Linked DNA regions of Anolis sagrei. The protein of the gene in region 1 interacts with the protein of each later gene in a biochemical or structural test. Links are inferred from orthologs where the notes say so. Each region holds a gene or a part of one and is shown on either strand. Other genes may lie near its edges. The genes, in order: protein S100-A6-like, CACYBP and CEP43.

The links.
Region 2: the proteins of protein S100-A6-like (region 1) and CACYBP are reported together in a solved structure, tested with the Homo sapiens proteins (2 studies listed by BioGRID and IntAct, with this or other methods). The link is inferred for Anolis sagrei from reciprocal best matches to the Homo sapiens genes S100A6 and CACYBP.
Region 3: the proteins of protein S100-A6-like (region 1) and CEP43 form a complex in vitro, tested with the Homo sapiens proteins (2 studies listed by BioGRID and IntAct, with this or other methods). The link is inferred for Anolis sagrei from reciprocal best matches to the Homo sapiens genes S100A6 and CEP43.

The regions. Positions count from the first base shown.
Region 1 is NC_090032.1:1,006,577-1,014,340, reverse strand, and holds the start of protein S100-A6-like, read left to right. Parts: upstream 1-4,660; 5' UTR 4,661-4,765; intron 4,766-7,764. Other genes in the region: protein S100-A5-like, read left to right, coding at 1,200-1,337, 3,152-3,295. UniProt on the Homo sapiens protein: May function as calcium sensor and modulator, contributing to cellular calcium signaling.
Region 2 is NC_090024.1:129,682,330-129,690,048, reverse strand, and holds the start of CACYBP (calcyclin-binding protein), read left to right. Parts: upstream 1-4,712; 5' UTR 4,713-4,727; coding exon 4,728-5,024; intron 5,025-7,719. UniProt on the Homo sapiens protein: May be involved in calcium-dependent ubiquitination and subsequent proteasomal degradation of target proteins. Probably serves as a molecular bridge in ubiquitin E3 complexes. Participates in the ubiquitin-mediated degradation of beta-catenin (CTNNB1).
Region 3 is NC_090021.1:64,214,729-64,222,050, forward strand, and holds the start of CEP43 (centrosomal protein 43), read right to left. Parts: upstream 3,002-7,322; 5' UTR 2,951-3,001; coding exon 2,864-2,950; intron 548-2,863; coding exon 494-547; intron 1-493. UniProt on the Homo sapiens protein: Required for anchoring microtubules to the centrosomes. Required for ciliation.

The DNA.
Region 1 (7,764 bases):
TTTAGAGTTTTTTAATACTGGTAGCCAGATTTTGTTCATTTTCATGGTCTCTTCCTTTCTGTTGAAATTGTCCACGTGCTTCTTGTGTATTTCAGTGGCTTCTCTGTGTAGCCTGACATGGTGGTTGTTGGTGTGGTCCAGCATTTCTGTGTTCTCAGATAATATGCTGTGTCCAGGTTGGTTCATCAGGTGCTCTGCTATGGCTGAAGTAGTCTGCCGTGCCTTTCATGTTCCTTGATGCGTGTCTGGGCAATGCTGCGTTTGGTGGTCCCTATGTAGACTTGTCCACAGCTGCATGGTACACGGGAGACTCCTGCAGAGGTGAGAGGATCCCTCTTGTACCGTGTACCATGCAGCTGTGGACAAGTCTACATAGGGACCACCAAATGCAGCATTGCCCAGACACGCATCAAGCTGTGGACAAGTCTACATTTCCCTGGGGAGTGAGTTCCACAGGTGGGGAGCCACCACTGAGAAAGCCCTGCTCCTCGTCCCCACCAGCCTCACTTGTGAGAGTGGTGGGGTCGAGAGCAGGGCCCCCCCCCAGATGATCTCAAGGTCCGGGGTGGGACGTAGAGGGAGATACGTTCGGACAGATACGCTGGACCGGAACCGTACAGGGTTCCGGTCCAGCGTATCTGTCCGAACGTATTTGAGAACACAGAAATGCTGGACCACTCTCACAACCACCATGTCAGACTACACAGAGAAGCCATTGAAATCCACAAGAAGCAAGTGGACAATCTCAACAGAAAGGAAGAGAACATGAAAATGAACAAAATCTGGCTACCAGTATTAAAAAACTCTAAAATTACAACAGCTAAACAACAGAGAGGAAAAAACCAGGCACAGATTAACACCTCCCAGGAACAGATTTTCCCAGGCTCAGGCAGGCCTTCAAATGCTAATGAAGGTGATCAGTTGAAACATTCACACCTAGCTCTACCAGACAAGAGTCCTTTGTCCCACCCTGGTCATTCCACAGATATATAAACCCATTTTCCTACTTCCAACAGACCTCACACCTCTGAGGATGCTTGCCATAGATGCAGGCGAAACGTCAGGAGAGAATGCCTCTAGAACATGGCTCTATAGCTCGAAAAAACCCACAAGAACCTGATGTGGTTTGAGCCCAGCATGAACTGCGGTGGGATTTGCAGTCCTCCCAAGGTCTCCTCCTCTCTTTGGCAGGACCCTCCATGGAGAGCCCCTTGGAGAAGGCCTTGGCCAGCCTGGTCCTCACTTTCCACCGGTATTCGGGCCAGGAAGGCAACCCCTTGACCCTCAGCAGGAAGGAGCTGAAGGAACTGGTCCAGAAGGAGCTGCAACTGGGAGAGGTCGGACCCTGCACCGCCCAACACCCCCTACAGGGGGACAACACAACAACAACAACAACAACAAACAACAACAACAACGATGACATAATTTAAAATAATAATAATACAATAGAATATATATATATATATATATATAGATAGATAGATAGATAGATAGATAGATAGATAATATTACAACAATAAGTCATAATATAACAATATAATATATATTATATAATAATATAATTATTATAACAATAATTTAAACATTGTAATAACAATGTAATATATATATATATAATACACTAATAAATCATAATATAAAACATATTATATGACAATAAATAATATATTGAATTAAATATAAGAATTATATATAAGAATTAAAAATCACAATAATGCCATAGAATATAATATATATATATATTATACAATAATATTGTAATGTTTATTATATAATAAAATATAATAATAATAATATATATTATATAATAAAATAATATAATAATTAATATTATATAATAAAATAATATAATAATCAATATAATGGTATTATAAAATAATATAATATAATAATTAATCATAACATAATAATATATATTATATAATATAATAGTCATATTAATAAGAATTTAAAAATCATGCTAACTATATATAATATATATATATAATACACTAATAAATCATAATATAAAACATATTATATGAGAATAAATAATATATTGAATTAAATATAAGAATTATATATAAGAATTAAAAATCATAATAATGCCATAGAATATAATATATATATATATATTATACAATAATATTGTAATGTTTATTATATAATAAAATATAATAATACATATTATATAATAAAATAATATAATCATTAATATAATAGTATTATAAAATAATATAATATAATAATTAATCATAATGTAATAATATATATTATATAATAGTTATATTAATAAGAATTTAAAAATCGTACTAACAATATATATAATACACTAATAAATCATGATATAATAATATATTATAAGAATTAAAAATTGTAATAATAATGCCATAGATTACAATAATATTGTAATGTTTATTATATAATAAAATCTAATAATAATAATATATATTATATAATAAAATAATATAATAATTAATATAATAGTATTATAAAATAATATAATATAATAATTAATCATAATAATATAATATAATAGTTATATTAATAAGAATTTAAAAATCATACTAACAATATATATATATATATATATATATAAAAATACACTAATAAATCATAATATAAAACATATTATATGAGAATAAATAATATATTGAATTAAATATAAGAATTATATATAAGAATTAAAAATCATAATAATGCCATAGAATATAATATATATATATATATTATACAATAATATTGTAATGTTTATTATATAATAAAATATAATAATACATATTATATAATAAAATAATATAATCATTAATATAATAGTATTATAAAATAATATAATATAATAATTAATCATAATGTAATAATATATATTATATAATAGTTATATTAATAAGAATTTAAAAATCGTACTAACAATATATATATATATATATATACTAATAAATCATAATATAAAACATATTATATGATAATATAATAATATATTATAAGAATTAAAAATTGTAATAATAATGCCATAGATTACAATAATATTGCAATGTGTATTATATAATAAAATATAACAATAATATATATTATATAATAAAATAATATAATAAATAATCATAATATAACAATATAATATATAATAATATAATATAATAATGATAATAATTATTATTATTATTTTCTGCAGCGCATGAAGGAGAGCGGCATCGACGTCCTGATGCGCAGCTTGGACCAGAACAAGGACCAGGAGGTCGACTTCAAGGAGTTCACGGCCTTCCTCTCGGCCCTTTGCATGGCTTACAACGACTTCTTCAAGCAGGGCGGCCAATAAAGAGCGGGGGAATCAATACGTAGTACATATATGCCTTCTCTGTATGGGGATTCCTTCCCTATTAGCCTCAAATAAAAGACCTGCGCCTTGCAAAAGACTGTGTTTGTTACGAAACACCATTTGCAGCATGCGAAGAAAAGCTGAGCACGAAGGAGGGAGGGAAAGAGTGTAACCGGGACACTTTAAAGAAGGACCGGAAAGTGGGAAGGGATCATGTATTATATATTTCCTTCAAAACACCCTTTGCAGCAAGGGAAGGAAGCTGAGCATGAAGGAGGGAGGGAAGGAGGGTAACCGGGACGCTTTATAAAAAGTCCAGAAAGTGGGAAGGGATCAAATATAATATATTTCCTTCAAATTACCCTTTAAAGTGTCCCGGTTACCCTCCTTCCCTCCCTCCTTCGTGCTCAGCTTTACAGTCCTTATTTCCTTCAAAACACCATTTGCAGCAAGTGAAGAAAAGCTGAGCACAAAGGAGGGAGGGAAGGACGGTAACTGGGACACTTTAAAGAAGGACCAGAAAGTGGGAAGGGATCGTGTATAATATATTTCCCTCAAAACACCCTTTGCAGCAAGTGAAGAAAGCTGAGCACGAAGGAGGGAGGGAAGGAGGGTAACCTGACACTTTAAAGAAGGACCGGAAAGTGGGAAGGGATCGTGTATAATCTATTTCCGTCAAAACACTCTTTGCAGCAGGCGAAGAAAGCTGAGCACGAAGGAGGGAGGGAAAGAGAGGTAACTGGGACACTTTAAAGAAGGACTGGAAAGTGGGAAGGGATCATATATAATATATTTCCTTCAAAACACCCTTTAAAGTGTCCCGGTCACCCTCCTTCCCTCCCTCCTTTGTGCTCAGCTTTCCAGTCTTCCTTATTTCCTTCAAAACACCCTTTGCAGCAAGCGAAGAAAGCTGAGCACGAAGGAGGGAGGGAAGGAGAGGTTGCCGGGACGCTTTATAGAAAGACCAGAAAGTGGGAATATATATATATATAATTTCCTAATGGGTTCTGTCTTGAAAACATGGGGAAAGTTTCATTTCCTTCAAAACACTATTTGCAGCAAGGGAAGGAAGCTGAGCACGAAGGAGGGAGGGAAGGAGAGGTAGCCGGGACGCTTTATAGAAAGACCAGAAAGTGGGAATATATATATATATAATTTCCTAATGGGTTCTGTCTTGAAAACATGGGGAAAGTTTCCTAAACTGCAGGAAAGCAGCCAATCCGGTTTCCTTCCCACCCTGGGGAAAACTTTTGCAATCTGGGGGAAAGTGAACAGGAGCAAAGAAAGGTGTGGCTGTGGGGGTATGCAAATGAGCAGGGCGTGGCACCCAATCAGGGCTCGTCCTGGGGGCGTGGCATGTGGGGAGGCCCCTCCCCTGTGTATAAAGAGAGGGTGGGTTGCATCCCTGGTCTCACTTGCCTGCCTCCCTTCCTTCCTTCCAGCCAACTTCTCTCTTCCTGCTTTCCACTGGTAAGTTTCCCTTCTTTTCCCCATAGAGAGAGAAAGCGTCAGTGGGGTGGGGGGTGCCTGGGTTCCCTGGCAGGGCCACTCCACCCTCCTTTTCCTCTTCCACTTCCACTGGAGAAGGTTTCCTGCCCTGAGGCATCCTCACCCAGGAGCCTGCACACCAACCAAGCTCCCTTTTCCAAGCTCTCTGCTGACATCTGGTGGCCAACCCGGGAATGGCGCCCCTGAGCATGAATAATTCTTTGGAGCCTGGATGGAGTGAACTACAACTCCCACCATCCTGGGCCTCAGGGATCTCTGGGTGTGGGCTGAGCTCTCCCTCCCACCCATGCTAACCCCCCCCCCCAATCCCCATCATCCTGGGTCACAGGCTCTCTGGAGATGGGGTGAGCTATAACTCCCACCATTCTAACTACAACTCCCATCGTTTTGGGTCACGCAGGCTCCCTGGGTGCAGGGTGACTATTACTCCCATACTCCCAACTACAGCTTCCATACTCCCAACTACAACTTCCATAATCCCAACTACAACTCCCACCATTCTAACTACAACTCCCATCATCCTGGGTCACAGGCACTCTGGGTGAACTATCACTCCTACCATTCTAACTACAGCTCCCATCGTTTTGGGTCACACAGGCTCCCTGGGTGCAGGGTGACTATTACTCCCATAATGCCAACTACAGCTTCCATAATCCTAACTACAACTCCCACCATTCTAACTACAACTCCCATCATTATGGGTTACTTGGGCTCCCTGGGTGCAGGGTGAGTATTATTCCCATCATTCTAACTACAACTCCCAGCATTTTGGGTGACACTGGCTTCCTGGGTGCAGGGTGACTATTACTCCCATAATCCTCACTACAGCTTCCGTACTCCCAACTACAACTTCCATAATCCTAACTACAACTCCCACCATTCTAACTGCAACTCCCATCATTATGGGTCACGCAGGCTCCCTGGGTGCAGGGTGACTATTACTCCCATAATCCTAACTACAACTCCCATCATTTTAGGTCACGCAGGCTCCCTGGGTGCAGGGTGACTATTACTCCCATAATCCTAACTACAACTCCCATCATTTTGGGTCACGCGGGCTCCCTGGGTGCAGGGTGACTATTACTCCCATAATCCTCACTACAACTCCCATCGTTTTGGGTCACGCGGGCTCGCTGGGTGCGGGGTGCCTATTACTCCCATAATCCTAACTACAACTCCCATCATTTGGATCACGCGGGCTCCCTGGGTGTGGGGTGACTTACTCCCATAATCCTAACTACAGCATTCATAATCCTAACTACAACTTCCATAATCCTAACTACAACTCCCACTCTAACGACAACTCCCACCATTTGAACTACAACTCCCAGCATTTTGGGTCACACGGGCTCCCTGGGTGCAGGGTGACTATTGCTCCCATAATCTACAACTCCCATCATTCTAACTACAACTCCCACACTTTTGGATCACAGGGATCTCTGGCTGTGGGGTGTACTACAACTCCCATCATCCTGGGTCATGAGGCTCTGGTTGCAGGGGAACTATAACTCCTATCATTTCAACTACAACCGTCATCATTTTGAGTCACAGGGCTTTCTGGGCGTGGGCTGTACTACAATGCCCTTCATCCTGGGCCACGGGGGTTCTGGATGTGGGTGAACTATAACTCCCATCATTCTAACTACATCTCCCATCATTTTGGGTCACAGGGGTTCTTTGGGTGTGGAGTGACTATTACTCCCATAATCCTAACTTCAATTCCCACTATTCTAACTACAACTCCCATTGTTTTGGGTCACACAGGCTCTCAGGGCATGGGTAAACTACAGCTCCCATTATCCTGGGTCATGGGGGATCTGGGTGTGGGGTGGACTACTACTCCCATCATCCTGAGTCATGGGAGCTCTAGGTGTGGCGTGAATTATAATTCCCATCATTCTAACTACAACTCCCATCATTTTGAGTCACAGGTCTTTCTGGTATGGGATGAACTACTACTCCCATCATCCTGAGTCATGGGGGTTCTGGGTGTGGCGTGAACTATAATTCCCATTATTCTAACTACAACTCCCATCATTTTGAGTCACAGGTCTTTCTGGTATGGGGTGAACTACAGCTCCCATCATCCTGGGTCATGGGGGCTCTGGGTGTGGCGTGAACTACTACTCCCATCGTCCTGGGTCATGGGGGCTCTGGGTGTGGCGTGAACTATAATTCCCATCATTCTGAGTCTCAGGGCTCTCTGGGCATGGGTCGAACTACAACTCTCAGCATCGATCCATACATACCGTTTTCACATTAATTTTATAGACACCAGATAAGAGAGGCAGAAGGAGAAAGATCCATGATGATGGGAGTTGTAGTCCGGAGGGGAGAGGCGTTCTTTTCCCCCCTTGGTTTGGCCATTAAGAGGGGAAAGCCGGGATGTCGCAACCACGTCTTCCAAGGCCGCTTCCCTTGCCCTCTCGCGGGCATCGAGCAGCCGCACCCTGGAATTAACCAGCATTTGAGTCATTTCTCCCGAGGCGGGTCCCATGGTCGCCGTCCTTGGCAATCCCGGGATTTGGAGTTTGGAGGAGCCATTTTACATATATACACATATACTAAAAGTGAAAAAAAATATGCTTAATAGTTTTAGCAGTGTGTGTGTGTGTGTGTATGTATATATATACACACACACACACATACATATAACATATATATATATATATATGCATATATATTTATATATATGAACAGAATGGTTTTAGTACTATATATATGTATGTTTTCTATATTTAATAGTATGTTGTCCTTTACATACGCACGCAGACATATGTACACACATGAAAATGTAATATATAATACACACAAAGACACACACACACACACATATATATTGCAAAAACTACTCAGCTTATATATATATATATATATATATATATATATATAGCTAAAATTATTTCACTCTCAGACACATATATACACACACATAAGAAAAGTAACTTAAATACTCAGCT
Region 2 (7,719 bases), on another chromosome or scaffold:
GAGAAAGGGGGAGGAAAAGGGGGAAGAAATAGGTAGGTACCTCTCTTTCATAATAGTCCAGATATCTATCTCAACTTTGATAAGTTTTACTATAGGCCACAGCAACGCGTGGCAGGGCACAGCTAGTACTTATATAAATCTTACACACATCTAGAAAGAAGTGTGCACACACTGTACTGGGAAACAAACAGGCCATGTTGGGATGGTACAAAAGAATATAATTAAAAGCATGGAAATACACTGTAAAAATTGCTTAATAAAATGTGTTTAGATACAATTAAATTCCAAACAATTATATGAATTGAATGTACATTAAAGCTACACAGCCTTATTACCAGTAAGCAATAATTTGATATCCCTCCTGTTCCTGGAACTATGATGTCCAAGTAACACCTAGCATGTTTGGTCCATTTCGACAACTACAAGCTTATTACAGACCCAAGTAGCTTGACTGTCAAAGATCCTCACAAGAAGATACATTAGGGAATGTACATACAGATTAATGCAAAGGCTAGTTTCACCTGAGTCTGGAGCAGGAAGATTTCTTATATTGGATACCTCCAAGAGAAACTTGGCAATGGACAAAGTCACATGGGGAAAATTATCTTCCAGTGAAAACTTGATATAGGAAGGTTGCTCAATAGTGGGTTGATAATATGTTGTAAAACCTGCTTGTAAAACCTGCAGGTTTGACACTTCCTGGTTACTGTATGGGAAAGGTCTTGCACTATATGGATGCTCTTAAGTAGCAAAATCTATTGGGCTGGCCCTGTCTCCATCTGCAATACGTGGATGAATAATAACATCTCAAATATTTTTTATGTATGGATAACAAATAAACCATTTTGAAGTGCTATGCACAATTCTGAATATTAGCTTATATTTAACTAATCAATACTTGCATTTTAACTATCAAAAGGAAAGCAAAACATTCTAAGGGATGTCATTTAAATCCTCGGCTTTCTCATCACAACAGGAAAAATAATTGGACACCTGAAAGTGGAAAAAAGGGTTAAGGATATACAACTAATTTCATGTGGGTCCAGTGTTGAATGGTAGGTTAATATCACTTCCTGTTCCTGAACCTCTGTGCAGTTGTGACCGGGTTCAGAGCTCCAGAACTGTAATTTCCCTTTTAAAATTGTGACTTAAGATTTTTTTCATTTATTTTATAATAAAAACACAATTGCATCGTTACATTGATTATTCCCAACCTTTTGCTCCCCCATCCCACCATCACCATACACATAACAGTGTACAGTTCTCAGTTCTCTTGCTTTTAGTTATAGGCAGTCCCCAAGTTATGAACAAGATAGCTTTAAAAATGAGGGCGAAAGGCGCCCCTGAAGTTTTCCCAATTATAGTAATTTATGCGCAATTACTGTAACCAAATTTCGTTATAGTAACGAATTTTTCCACTAATTGTACTTTAGAAACACTTTAGAAATGAAATGCTAGCACCTCCCAGTTTTGTAATAACTTTTGAAACATTTTTAAATGGATCAGACATCCCTAGTGTTCACCTTTCCCTATAGAATCATACAGTTGAAAAAGATCTCATGGGCCATCCAGTCCAACCCCCTGCCAAGAAGCAGAAAAACTGCATTCAAAGCACCCCCGACAGTTGGCCATCCAGTTGCTGTTTAAAAGCTTCCAAAGAAGGAGCCTCTACAAAACTCCAGGGCAGAGAGTTCCACTGCTGAACGGCTCCCACAGTCAGGACGTTCCTCCTAATGTTCAGATGGAATCTCCTTTCTTGTAGTTTGAAGCCATTGTTCCGCATCCTAGTCTCCAGGGCAGCAGGAAATAATAATAATAATAATAATAATAATAATAATAATAATAATAATCTTTATTTATACCCCGCCACCATCTCCCCTGTGGGGACTCGGAGCGGCTTACATGGGGCCAAGCCCGAACAACATATTACAGCAATAAAATCAAAACATAAACAACAAATAACAACAACATCAAAATTACATTAAAAATGCAGTCATAAAATAACATTCTAATAAACACAATCACGATAACGATAACAATGGGCGGGCCGCATATATATATATATATATATATATATATATATATGTTCTGTACATAATGAGTACCTTAAAAACAAAAGGCCCAATGAACGAAATCACACCAAATTTGACAACAAAATGTCTCACTACACAAGGAGTGCCCATCAATCAAAAATTATGATTTTGTCATTTTGGAGTTGTAGTTGCTGGGATTTATAGTTCACCTATAATCAATGAGCATTCTGAACTCCACCAACAATGGAATTGAACCAAACCTGGTACACAGAACTCCCATGACCAACAGAAAATACCAAAAGGGTTTGGTGGGCATTGACCTTGAATTTTGGAATTGTAGTTCACCTCCATCCAGAGAACACTGTGGACTCCAACAATGATGGATCTGGACCAAACTTGACAGGAATACTCAATATGCCCAAATGTGAACACAGATGGAGTTTGGGGGAAATAGAACTTGACATTTGGGAGTTGTAGTTACTGGGATTTATTGTTCACCTACAATCAAGGGGCATTCTGAACCCCACCAACGACAGAATTGGGGCAAACTTACTGTGTTTTCTGGTGATCTTTGGTGACCTTCTGACACCCCCCTGGTGACCCCCGGGGTCTTGACTTCCCAGATTGAGAAATGCTACCTTAAGGCCATCCAGTCCAACTCCCTTCACCAGGGCAAGAAAACATAATCACAGCCCTCCCGACAAAGGGCCATCCAGCCATTCACACATACACATATATGTATATGACAGATTCAGTATCAAAGATTTGAAAGGGACCCCTAAAGAAGGAGAATGATATGTTGCATGTTCCAGAGTAGGCAAACCAAACAATCTCCACATCAACACTGGCAAAGAAACAGCAAGAAATCCTGTTTACTCACAAGCAGAAAGAAATTACATATATTAGAAACCAACACTTTCCCATTACTTTTTTCCCAGATCACCAGACTGGGCCACAGCAATGCGTGGCAGGGGACCGCTAGTACAGGATAAGAACAATTAAAGGACTGAAATAAAATAAAATAGGAGGAGGACAATTACGGGGGATTCATAAAATACGTAGAATTGTGAGGCTAAACATCCCATTTGGAGGTGCGAGCTCCAGTAGCAAAAACGTTGGGGGATGCAAAATGTCGTGGTGTGCACCTAATCACCAAAGGCGCAGCGGAAGAACCAAGTTTTACGGTTCTTTTTAAACATTTCTAGTGAAGGGGCTTGCTCCCTCCTCCCTATGATTTCCTCTCACATATTTATGCATGGCTATCATGTCTCCTCTCAACCTTCTCTTCTTCAGGCTAAACATGCCCAGCTCTTTAAGCCGCTCCTCATAGGGCTTGTTCTCCAGACCCTTGATCATTTTAGTTGCCCTCCTCTGGACACATTCCAGCTTGTCAATATCTCGCTTCAATTGTGGTGCCCAGAACTGGACAGAATATTCCAGGTGTGGTCTAACCAAGGCAGAATAGAGGGGTAGCATGACTATGCTATCCAAAGCTAATTTATATAAATAAAAATGTAATGTTCGTTTGTGCTATTCACAGAACTCAGAAACCACTCCGGCAATTGACACCAAATTTGGACACTATGTCCCTAACAACCCAATGTATGTTCTCCACTAAAAAAAAACAACGGAAATGAAAAGCAGAAAGGACATCTAAACTGCATGTCCACAAAGGGGAAACTGCATGTCTACAGAGACCCATGGCCACGCCCCCTCCTCTTCCTCATGGGGAAACAGCCTGCCGTTAAAGCCAGGCGCACATGCACAGCCACATGCACACACACACACAAGGGAGTGGAGGAGGTGGAGGCAGTCTCCTCCTTTCCCTGTTGGAAGAGGAAATGGCAGATGAGTGCCAGCAGCAGCAACGAAGCAAGGAAGAAGGGGAGGAGGAGGGGGGAGGCGAGGAAGGTCCACAGTGCTTGAATGAAGGACCTTCCTTCTCTCCCTCCCTTCCCTTCTTTCCTCCCTTCCTTTTTCTTCTTTCCCTCCTTCCCTTCCTTCCTGTTCCTCCTTCCTTTCCTCCCCCCCCTTTCCTTCTTCTTTCCCTTTCTTCATTTCCTTCCCTTCCTCCTTTCTTCATCCCCCTCCTTCCTTCCTTCTCCTCCCTCCCTGTCCCTCCTTGTTTTCCTTCCTTCCCTTCTTTCCCTCCCTCCCTCCCTCCCTTTTTCCTTCCTTCATGTCTCTCCTTCCTTCCTTCTTCCTTTCCTTCTTTCTATGTAAGATATAAATACAATATTAAATGGAAGGGACAATCAAGAAGTAACGAGAGAAGGAGGGAAAGAGGGAAGGAAGGAAGGCGAGAAGTAGGGAGGGAAAGAAGGAAAGAAAGAAAGATAGAGAAAGATGAGAGATAGGGAAAGACAAAGAGGAAAGGAAGGAGGGAAGGGAGGAGAGAAAGAGGGAGGGGAGGTTGGCCACAGCAATGCGTGGCGGGTACTATATATATATTAGGCTGGAATTATACATAAAATGTACCTGTTCCGACTTACAAACAAATTCAACTTAAGAACAAACTGTGTACATTCTGTATGACTTGCAATGGTAAAAGAAAGCTGAGAAGAGAGGCGTCTTTGGGAGGAAAGCGGCCTTGTGGGAGCTTCATGCTCTCTCCACTCCTTCCTCTTGTTCCTCACTTGGGGCCTGCCTATATCTGTATTTAGAGACAACTCTCTTGCAGGCCTACTCTGTGAAATGCTTGGGATACGGAAAACTCAAGGGAAATACCTCAGGAAACAGAAGGGAGAACTATCGACCCCTCCACTGAAACTTTCAGCTTCCCCGGCACAAACCCGGAAATCCGGCAGGCAACAAGCCTCTTGCCAGCCCAGCTTTGGTCGTTTCCGGCCAGAGCGCGCCTTCCCTATTGGCTGGGAGGTCAGGAGGACAGTGACGTCATTGGCAGTGACGGCGCGCGAGGCAAGCTCGAGAGCGGCGCGAGGAGGCTGGCTTTTGCTCCTTTATTCCGCAGCCGCCCTCGAGATGGAGGAGGTGAGCATGCGCCGAGGGGGAGGGAAGGGTCGCTGGGCCTCAGGAAGGGGGAGAGGGTGGGCCTCCAAAGGAGTCTCTGGAGGGCAGTGGGGCGGAGGAGGAAATACAGGGCTCACAGACCCCGAAGCAGGGGTTTCTGGTTGAGGTCTGGCCCCAGTTAGAAGGCACCCCAAAGGCCATCCAGTCCAAACCTCTGCCAGGCAGGAAAAGCACAATCAGAGCAGCCCCAACAGATGGCCATCCAGCCTCTATTTAAAGGCCTCCAGAGAAGGAGATCAATTGATAGAATTATAGAGTTGGAAGAGGCCACGTGGGCCATCTAGTGCAACCCCCTGCCAGGCAGGAAAAACACCATCAAAGCACCCCCGACAGATGGCCATCCAGCCTCTATTTAAAGGCCTCCAGAGAAGGACATTGATAGATAGAATCATAGAGTTGGAAGAGACCATGTGGACCAATCTGTCCAACACCCTGTCAGGCAGGAAAAGCACCATCAAAGCACCCCTGACAGATGGCCATCCAGCTTCTGTTTAAAGGCCTCCAGAGAAGGAGATCAATTGATAGAATTATAGAGTTGGAAGAGATCATGTGGGCTATCTAATCCAACCCCCTGTCAGGCAGGAAAAACACCATCAAAGCAACCCCGACAGATGGCCATCTAACCTCTGTTTAAAGGCTTCCAGAGAAGGAGAGCGATAGAGTTGGAAGAGGCCTTTAGAAAAGGGGATCGATAGATAGAATCTTAGAGTTGGAAGAGGCCACGTGGGCCATCTAGTGCAACCCCCTGCCAGGCAGGAAAAGCACCATCAAAGCACCCCTGACAGATGGCCATCCAGCCTCTGTTTGAAGGCCTCCAGAGAAGGAGATCGATTGATAGAATCTTAGAGTTGGAAGAGGCCATGTGGGCCATCTAGTCCAACGCCCTGCCAGGCAGGAAAAACACCATCAAAGCATCCTGCCAGCCAGGACAAACACCATCAGAGCACCCTGACAGATGGCCATCCAGCCCCTGTTTAAAGGCCTCCAGAGAGCGAGATCGATAGATAGAATCATAGAATTGGAAGAGGCCACATGGGCCATCTAGTCCAACTCCCTGCCAGGCAGGAAAAGAACAATCAAAGCAGCCCCGACAAATGGCCACCCAGCTTCTGTTTAAAAGCCTCCGAAGAATAAGCTTCCGCCACACTCTGAGGCAGAGAGTTCCACTGTTGAACAGCTCTCACAGTCAGGAAGTTCTTCCTAATGTTCAAGTGGAATTTCCTTTCCTGTCATTTGAATATATTGCCCCAAGTGGCACTACCTAAAAGAATCCCACACCTTATGTGGCTGTGGAGCAGAACAGACAACTCCGCACCTTTATGCTTGTCCACTATGCCCTGCCTCATGTACAGAGGAAGACTTGTTAGAGGCCATATTGTTGCCTGTTTTTGGTCAAAAGATATTTAGCCACCTGTGCTCCTTCTATTTTTATTGGTTATATACTAATTTATGCAATGCTTTTGATACGAAATAATAATAACTGGCCCAAGTGAGCAGTGGGGTGCCACAAGGGTCTGTCCTGGGCCCAGTGCTGTTCCACGTATTTACCAATGACTTGGATGACAAAATAGAAGGCATGCTTATCAGATTTGCAGAGGAAAGAAGGCTGAAAGGGGGCATGATAGCTATGTTTATATATTTGTACGGAAGTCAAGTTGAAGACGTGGCAAGCTTCTTTGCATTATCGTAATGCATTATCATTTGGATACATTTGTGTCTCAGCAAGCTTGTTCGGTTTGCTGATCTTTGCTAAGAAGTCATTGCTGATTAAGCAGTCACAAATCTCAGTCTGAACACATATGTCAAGGTCTTGCATTGTCAGCTTAACTACAGTAATGAAATTCTGCAGTGCCACTCCCAGAAAAACCTACCTTGCAGCCTGACCAAAAGATTTCTGTTGTGCTAGATATCTGGGTCCTGAGGAATAGCCTTTGCAGTGTCTGATCGTGTGTCACGTGTCAGAAGCAACTTGAGAATCTGCAAGTCGCGTCTGGTGTGAGAGTATTGGCCGTCTGCAAGGACGTTGCCCAGGGGACGCCCAGATGATTTGATGTTTTATCATCCTTGTGGGAGGCTTCTCTCATGTCCTCGCATGAGGAGCTGGAGCTGACAGAGGGAGCTCATCCACCTCTCCCCGGATTCAAACCTGCGACCTGTCGGTCTTCAGTCCTGCCGGCACATGGGGTTTAACCCATTGCGCCACCGGGGGCTCTGCAGTGTCCGATATTTATTTATCATGTCATCAGCAACCATACCATTGTATTACATTTCTAACAGAACAAAACAAACAGATTTTTTAAAAAAACAAAACACAGATTTTGCCAACTTGGTAGTTGGTTAAATGTCCTTCGACCAGTATCTGGCCACTTGGAGTGCCTCTGGTGTTGCCGCAAGAAGGTCCTCCATTGTGCATGTGGCAGGGCTCATGTTGCATTGCAGCAGGTGGTCAGTGGTTTGTTCTTCTCCGCACTCGCATGTCGTGGATTCCACTTTGTAGCCCCATTTCTTAAGATTGGCTCTGCATCTTGTGGTGCCAGAGTGCAGTCTGTTGAGTGCCTTCCAAGTCGCCCAGTCTTCTGTGTGCCCAGGGGGGAGTCTCTCATCTGGTATCACCCACGGATTGAGGTGCTGGGTTTGGGCCTGCCACTTTTGGACT
Region 3 (7,322 bases), on another chromosome or scaffold:
AAATACCAATATCAATCTAATTTGGGTGATCTTAACAGCACTGCAACAGGATAACATATTAAAACACTAAATGTTTTAATTGGTACTAACGTATACACCCGAAGATACACTGCTAAAAGCAAAGTAAGAATCCTTGTTTTTTAAAAAAATGTATAGTGGTGTAAATCCAAACATTATTCATCTCTAATTTTATCAAATGAAATAAGTGAAAAAGATGACACTGAAGTCTAAAGAAACACCCCCTTTACTGGAATATTTTGCTTCCATCAGCTGCAGACTTTCAAACAATAAATGACACTAATTTCAGTTTGCAACCATAATCCTAACAGTCAGCCCTTGCACACACTGACAAAAATGGAAGACAAAATGGCTGCTAAAATCCCCCTACCAATATCCCCTCTATCAAATAGAGTTCAAAAGCTGTTAGTTTAACATGCAAAACATGTGCATATTATACTAAAATCAGAGAAACCAAATTAAAGTCGAACTTTACCTCTACTTTTTCTTGCTCTTCAAGAGCCAAAAACACAGCTGCCCGCAACTCTGCCTGCAAAAGAAAGTCAAAAATATGCAAAATATGTATGTCTACATACATTAAAATCAGGTAACAAGCCAAACAGCACCCAGATGATGGTTCTAAAAGCAATTTTCTGTGTTCTTCTTTCTGTTAAATCTCTAAATATTTGATAGGTCTCTGATTTCATAGGACGTAAACTTTGGTAACATTTATGTTATTTTTCCTTCTGTTTTAGATGATGTTCAAGTATTTAACAGAAATCCCACTGTGCTAGCAGTAGCAGAACAATCTGTAAGATGTATTTTTCAAGAAACACTTGAGTAAGCACAAAAGTCCATTACATAAAGCATAGTAACCGTTCTAAAAATGTGAAGCAAACAGAACTACTACTTGAGATGCAATAATGTCCCATTAAAGAAACTAAATTGCCACATCCTTGTACACTGGTGTGACAGGAATGTGTGGATCCCTACAAGTAGGACTGCAATTCCCATGAGTTATTAACTTCCATAGCTAATGAAGCCCACAAAATCAAATAGAAAGTCATACACTGTTTATCTCTTCCTCAACATTTGTTCAAGTAAACTAGTGGCAAGAATTGAAAGTTCAAGTTTAGTGTATTTAATAACAATATAGAGCACAGCACATGAAAAGTGCCAATTTTCCATATATTTTGTATTTGTTTCAAATTGTCGTGTTTGGAACTGTAGTAAAGTTACAAAGAAATAAAGGAAGAAGAACAGCATACACAACCCCTTTTAAATTCAGTGCAATTGCTATATGTGGAACTAATACTCTGTTTTAGTTATTTACAGAAAGACTAAAAACAATAAAACAAAATTAAATAAAAATTAAGCTGAAACTGAAGGAATAAAGGAAAAGAGTCAATATAAGCAGAATGGAATTGTTGTACTGCATAGTAGAGCATTCAATGGAAAATAGAGAGGAATAGAAAATACAGAAATGGACAACAGTTCTCTCATGTATTGTCAAAGGCCTCCATGGCTGGAATCACTGGATTGCTGTAAGTTTTTCGGGCTGTATGGCCATTTTCCAGAAGCATTTTCTCCTGACGTTTCACCTGCATTAATGGCAGGCTTCCTCAGAGGTTGTGAGGTCTGTTGGAAACTAGGAAAATTGGGTTTATATATCTATGGAATATCCAGGATGGGAGGTCCAAGGTGGGATGTCCCACCTTGGACATTCCACAGATATATAAACCCCGTTTTCTTAGTTTCCAATAGACCTCACAACCTCTGAGTTTGCCTGCCACAGATGCAGGTGAAACATCAGGAGAGAATGCTTCTGGAACATGGCCATACAGCCCGAAAAACTTACAGCAACCCAGTTTTCTCATGCTGTCATAGTCTCGTATTTTCTCTCTGCAAAGGAGGGTTTACAGTGCACAGTAATCTAAAGTCAGCGCTCCTTGTTTGTAGGATTACCTCCCCCCCTCAAAAAATATTCTACACTCCTTTCTTGTTAACAGTTCTGTTTGTACATCCCTTTCCTACTTTGCCACCATGTGTCAGACCTCAAGTCTCTCTCAACTACAATATTCCCTCACCTGACTTCTTCCTGCTCATCCTCCACCCATGCTATCATACTATCACCCATGGCAGCTAAAATGGTATCAACTCTGCAGCGTAGATGTACTTAGCCATCTCTGAACAAGATACTGAACAAGAAATAACTCCTTTGTGCAATTAGTCAGCTATCAACGTTTGATCATGATGCTGATAAGGATCCCAGATCCTCTCTGCCTGATCTTTCACATCCAGGAGAGCAATGGTCCCAGATTTTGGTCCTATAGATACCATAATTACTGACTGTTGGCAAAGTTGGCTGTGGCTTCTGGGAGTTGAAGTCCCAGACATCTGGAAGACCAAAGGTTTAAGGTCAAAGAGAGTTCTCCCCTAAAAAGCATGTCACAAGGGCCAAACAACAAGAGAAAGCAATATTGTCTGCTTGCCCTGGCTATGACAGTGGACATTTACTGGTTCACTATGAGACAGGCAATGCTGGCCGGCCTAGGGAGTCCCTTCTAGCTCTATGATTCTGTACCTCCACGCATTTCTTCTGTCCTAACATGGGTAATACGGCCATGAACTCTCTGATCCCCTTAACCCCAATAAAAGTCCCACGCATGCGCCCTGAGGCCAAGGCTGCGCGTGGCGCTCTTCCCCAGAGAACGCACAGCCTCGAGGAATGGCGGGAATGGCAGTTGGCGGAGGGCCGTCGTGGGTCTTCAGCCCCAGCTCCCCTCCATCGTTCCCAATTCGCGACGCGCCACGCCACTCAGAGGTCCGCCCAAGGCTTCGGTGAACCTCAGGCACACATCCACACCTTGATTTTATTCAGCACGCCGCTCGTCTCCAGGGTCTGCACAAGGAGGTCCCTCAGCTCGGTATCTTCCTCTGTCGCCGCCGCCATCTTGCTTCTCCCTGACAACCGCCTAAACTGAACTAGCGGTCGAGCCCGCCCCGCAGATTCGTCACTCCAGAAAGAGGGGGGGAGAAGGAGGCGACAAGACCCGCGCTCCGAGGCGCCGCGAATGTGCGAATGAAAGAAAGGGCAGCGCGTCACCAGGAGCTGTGATTGGCTGGGCGAGGACAAGGGGGCGGGGCTTTGGAGAAGGGAGGTACTTTCAGGAAGTGAAGGAACCTTGCTTCAGCTGGGGATGTCAAGAGTATCTGCACTGTAGCTTCACCCCACTTTAACTGTCAGGGCGCTGTGGAATCTCGGGAGCCGTAGTTTTACACGGTCGGAAGCTTTCTCTTACAAAGACTGCTGGTGCCTCTCCAAATTTCAGCTCCCATGATTCCATAGCAGCGAGTCATGGCAGTTAAAGTGGTATCAAACTGTATTAATTCTACAGTGTAGTTGCAGCTGTCCTTACACTGGAGTATTAGAGCAGTTTGACATCACTTTGATTGCCGTAGTTCAATATAAATTTTGGGTTTTTTTTAGTTTTTAAGACATATTTAATCGTTTTTGTCACGGACCTCTGGTACCACAACAAACTTAACTTTAACGTAACTCAAGGATAGTGGTCCTCCAAGTGAAGTGTCTTGGCAGTGGGTCTGTAGGTGACTGTGGAGCCCTATTCTTGATCCACATGTTCTCCTGCAATGAGGACATTGGTTTCCAATGGAAGGTGGTCTCGGTCAGGTTTGGCTCGACGTGCCTTCCTCTTGGCACGTTTCTCCCTTTCGCTCTCCATTCATGCCTCTTTGGTTTGTTTTTATTTTTCTTGGAAGATGCCTGTGCGTGAGTTTTTTTTAAAAATGTGTGAAGGTCAGTGCACAGCCGATCAACACAGTCTTCACAGAGAGAGGTCCCATCCAGTGGCGTGGTTAACATGACGATGATGGCTTCTCAATCTGTTGCAACCTTCTTCTGCTATCACAGCTGTTGTAACATGTACCATGTTATCCTCCGCCTGATCCGCGGTTGAGGTCTTCGGGTCTTCGGACTGTGCTTGGTCTGGAACCTCCCCTGCGGCCCCTCCTGGGAGTGCATGACTCCGGTAGTTGTGCCCGCGGGTTCACTGGAACATGCAAGTCCCCTCACGACAAGGTGACAATCCATCAAGGGGGCACAACAAACTACAAATCACAAAATGTCTTCAGTTGAAGGCTCAGCCTACTTACAGAATGCTTATCTGTGACCATGCATCTACACTGTTAGCTTAATGGAGTTTAACACTAACTTCACAGATCCAATGCTATGGGAGTCTGGGAGTTGTAGTTCGCTGATGCGCTAGCACTGTCAGAGAACACAAAAACCTTGTAAAACTACAACTCCTGGAATTTCATAGCATTGAGTCATGCAAAGATTACTGCAGCCAGTAAATCAGGAGACACTTACTTCTTGGGAGGAGAGCAATGACCAATCTCGATAAAACAGTGAAGAGTGGAGACATCACACTGGCAACGAAGATCCACACAGTCAAAGCAATGGTATTCTCTGTAGTAATCTATGGATGTGAGAGCTGGACCATAGGGAAGGCTGAGCGGAGGAAGATAGACGCTTTTGAACTGTGGTGTTGGAGGAAAATTCTGAGAATGTCTTGGACTGCAAGAAGATCCAACCAGTCCATATTCCAGGAAATAAAGCCCGACTGCTCACTGGAGGGAAGGATATTAGAGGCCAAGATGAAGTACTTTGGCCACATAATGAGAAGACGGGAAAGCTTAGAGAAGACAATGATTCTGGGGAAAATGGAAGGAAAAAGAAAGAGGGGCCGACCAAGGGCAAGATGGATGGTATCCTTGAAGTGACTGGTTTGACTCTGAAGGAGCTGAAGGTGGTGACAGCTGACAGGGAGCTCTCGCGTGGGCTGGTCCATGAGGTCACAAAGAGTCGGAAGCGTCTGAACGAATAAAGAACAACACGAGCCATGACTGTTAAAGCGATGTCAAACTGCATTAATTCTGTAATGTAAATATGGATAGTACTATTGCACTAGATGTTGCTTAAAGCCAAAGAAGATCGTCTAAGCAAAGAAAGACGAGACTCCAAAACCGCAGGTCACAACAAAATCCTAAGGGTGCTGAGAGTTAAAAACAAAATCCCAGGAATTAAAATGTCAGTTGATGAGATTCAGCTAGTGTAAGCAAAACTTTGAACATAGGTTTGCCAGCAACTCAGCTGACGGCCATTTATTTTCTCCACTTTTGTACTTGGCTTTAGATTTCACTGTTGAATAAAGCTGCAAAAACTGCTCTGTTCACCTTGGCCTTTGTGGTCCTAGAAATAGACCTGAAACTACACAAGTTTACATCTCCCAAGTCCATTCCACTAACAGACTAACCTTATGTGCAGATGGTCATGCATGGTCTTTGAATCTGAATACTATAGGAACATCATACAGCTAGGGATTTATACAGCTAGGAATGTATAAAACTGTACCAGATTTCCTCATAAAGAAAACAGGCTTAAAAGTTTGTCTGTGTTTCCAAAATGTCACTGTAGGTGGCACTAAAATCCATTTTCTAAAAGAGCTAGTTATCAAACCTGCAGACCAAAAAAACATGATTGTGTAATTGTTAACTGGAGAGAAGTGCCTTGAATTAAAGCTTCTTCGCCTATTGCTTCATTTGTATGCAAGCCCTAATCTCCATGGATAGGTAATGGTGGATCTACACTACATTATATGGCAGCGTAGACTCATATAATGTGTGTCAACCGCATTGAACTGCAATATATGGGTCTACACTGACTATATAATGCAGTTCCAAACTGCATTATATGGAAGTGTAGATCCAACCTATGGGGGTTTTTTTGTCTGAAGATAAATTGATTCTAGGTTTGTTTTCAAAGGCTGGTTCCACACTGCCAAATGATGTAGTTTGAACTGCATTATCCAGTCCGTGTAGAAACATGTAAGACAGTTAAATATACAGTCTCGCTTATCCAACCTTCACTCATCCAATGTTCTGTATTATCCAATGCAGTCAGCCTCCTGCCCGGATCCACAGCTGCTTCAATACATTGTGATGTTTTGGTACTAAATTAGTAAATACAGTAATTACTACATAACATTGCTGGGTATTAAACTGATTTTTCTGTCGATTTGTTGTAAAACATGATGTTTTGGTGCTTAACTTGTAAAATCATAACGTAATTTAATAGGCTTTTCCTTAATCCCTACTCATTATCCAACATTTTTACTTATCCAACATTCTGATGGCCTGTTTATGTTGGATAAGCAAGACTCTACTGTAGTTCAAACTACATTATAAGGTTCTACGCTAACCATATAGTTCAAACTACATTATATCGCAACTCAGAACCAGACACAGTGACTCCGACTTCATGTTATTATGAGTTCAATTCATGCTCAGGACATGTAACTGGGCTGACAAAAGCAGACTTCTGTGCTCCAAGGCCCCATCTACACTGTTATATATGCACTCTGAGACTTCATTATATGATCAGTGTAGACTTTTATAACTGCATTCAAGTGCATTATATGAGCCTACACCAGGCATGGGCAAACTTCAGTCCTCCAGATGTTTTGGATTTCAGCTCCCACATTTCCTAACAGCCTCAGACCCTTTCCTTTTCCTCTTCAGCTGCTTAAGCGGCTGAGGGGGAAAAGGAAGGGGCCTGAGGCTGTTAGGAATGGTGGGAGTTGAAATCCAAAACATCTGGAGGACCGAAGTTTGCCCATGCCTGATCTATACTGTGGGCAACATAGATGGGGCCTATGGTAGCCCTTTTTAATCCAAAATCTGGGAGTGTGAGCAGACCATAGGTACGTCTACACTATAGAATTAATGCAATGTAGTGTCGAAGGCTTTCATGGCCAGAATCACTGGGTTGTTCTGAGTTTTCCAGGTTCTATGGAAAAACACTAAAATTGTAACAATAAATAAAGTACACTCAAAAGCAGGGGCATTCCAAACAAGGAACCATCAGGGCCAGCTAATCATCTCCCAACAAAGGATTCCCCCAGGCAGTATGAAGCCAGACCTTTAAACCGGCTCGACCATTACATGCAAGTGGCCAATTGCAACATTCATACTTGCCTCATAGAATCATAGAGTTAGAAGAGACCTCATGGGCCATCCAGTCCAACCCCCTGCCAAGAAGCAGGAAAATTGCATTCAAAGCACCCCTGACAGATGGCCATCCCATCTGTGTTTAAAAGCCTCCAAAAAAGGAGCCTCCACCACACTCCGGGGCAGAGAGTTCCACTGCTGAACAGCTCTCACAGTCAGGAAGTTCTTCCTAATATTCAGATGGAATCTCCTTTCTTGTAGTTTGAAGCCATTGGTCAGCGTCCTAGTCTCCAGGG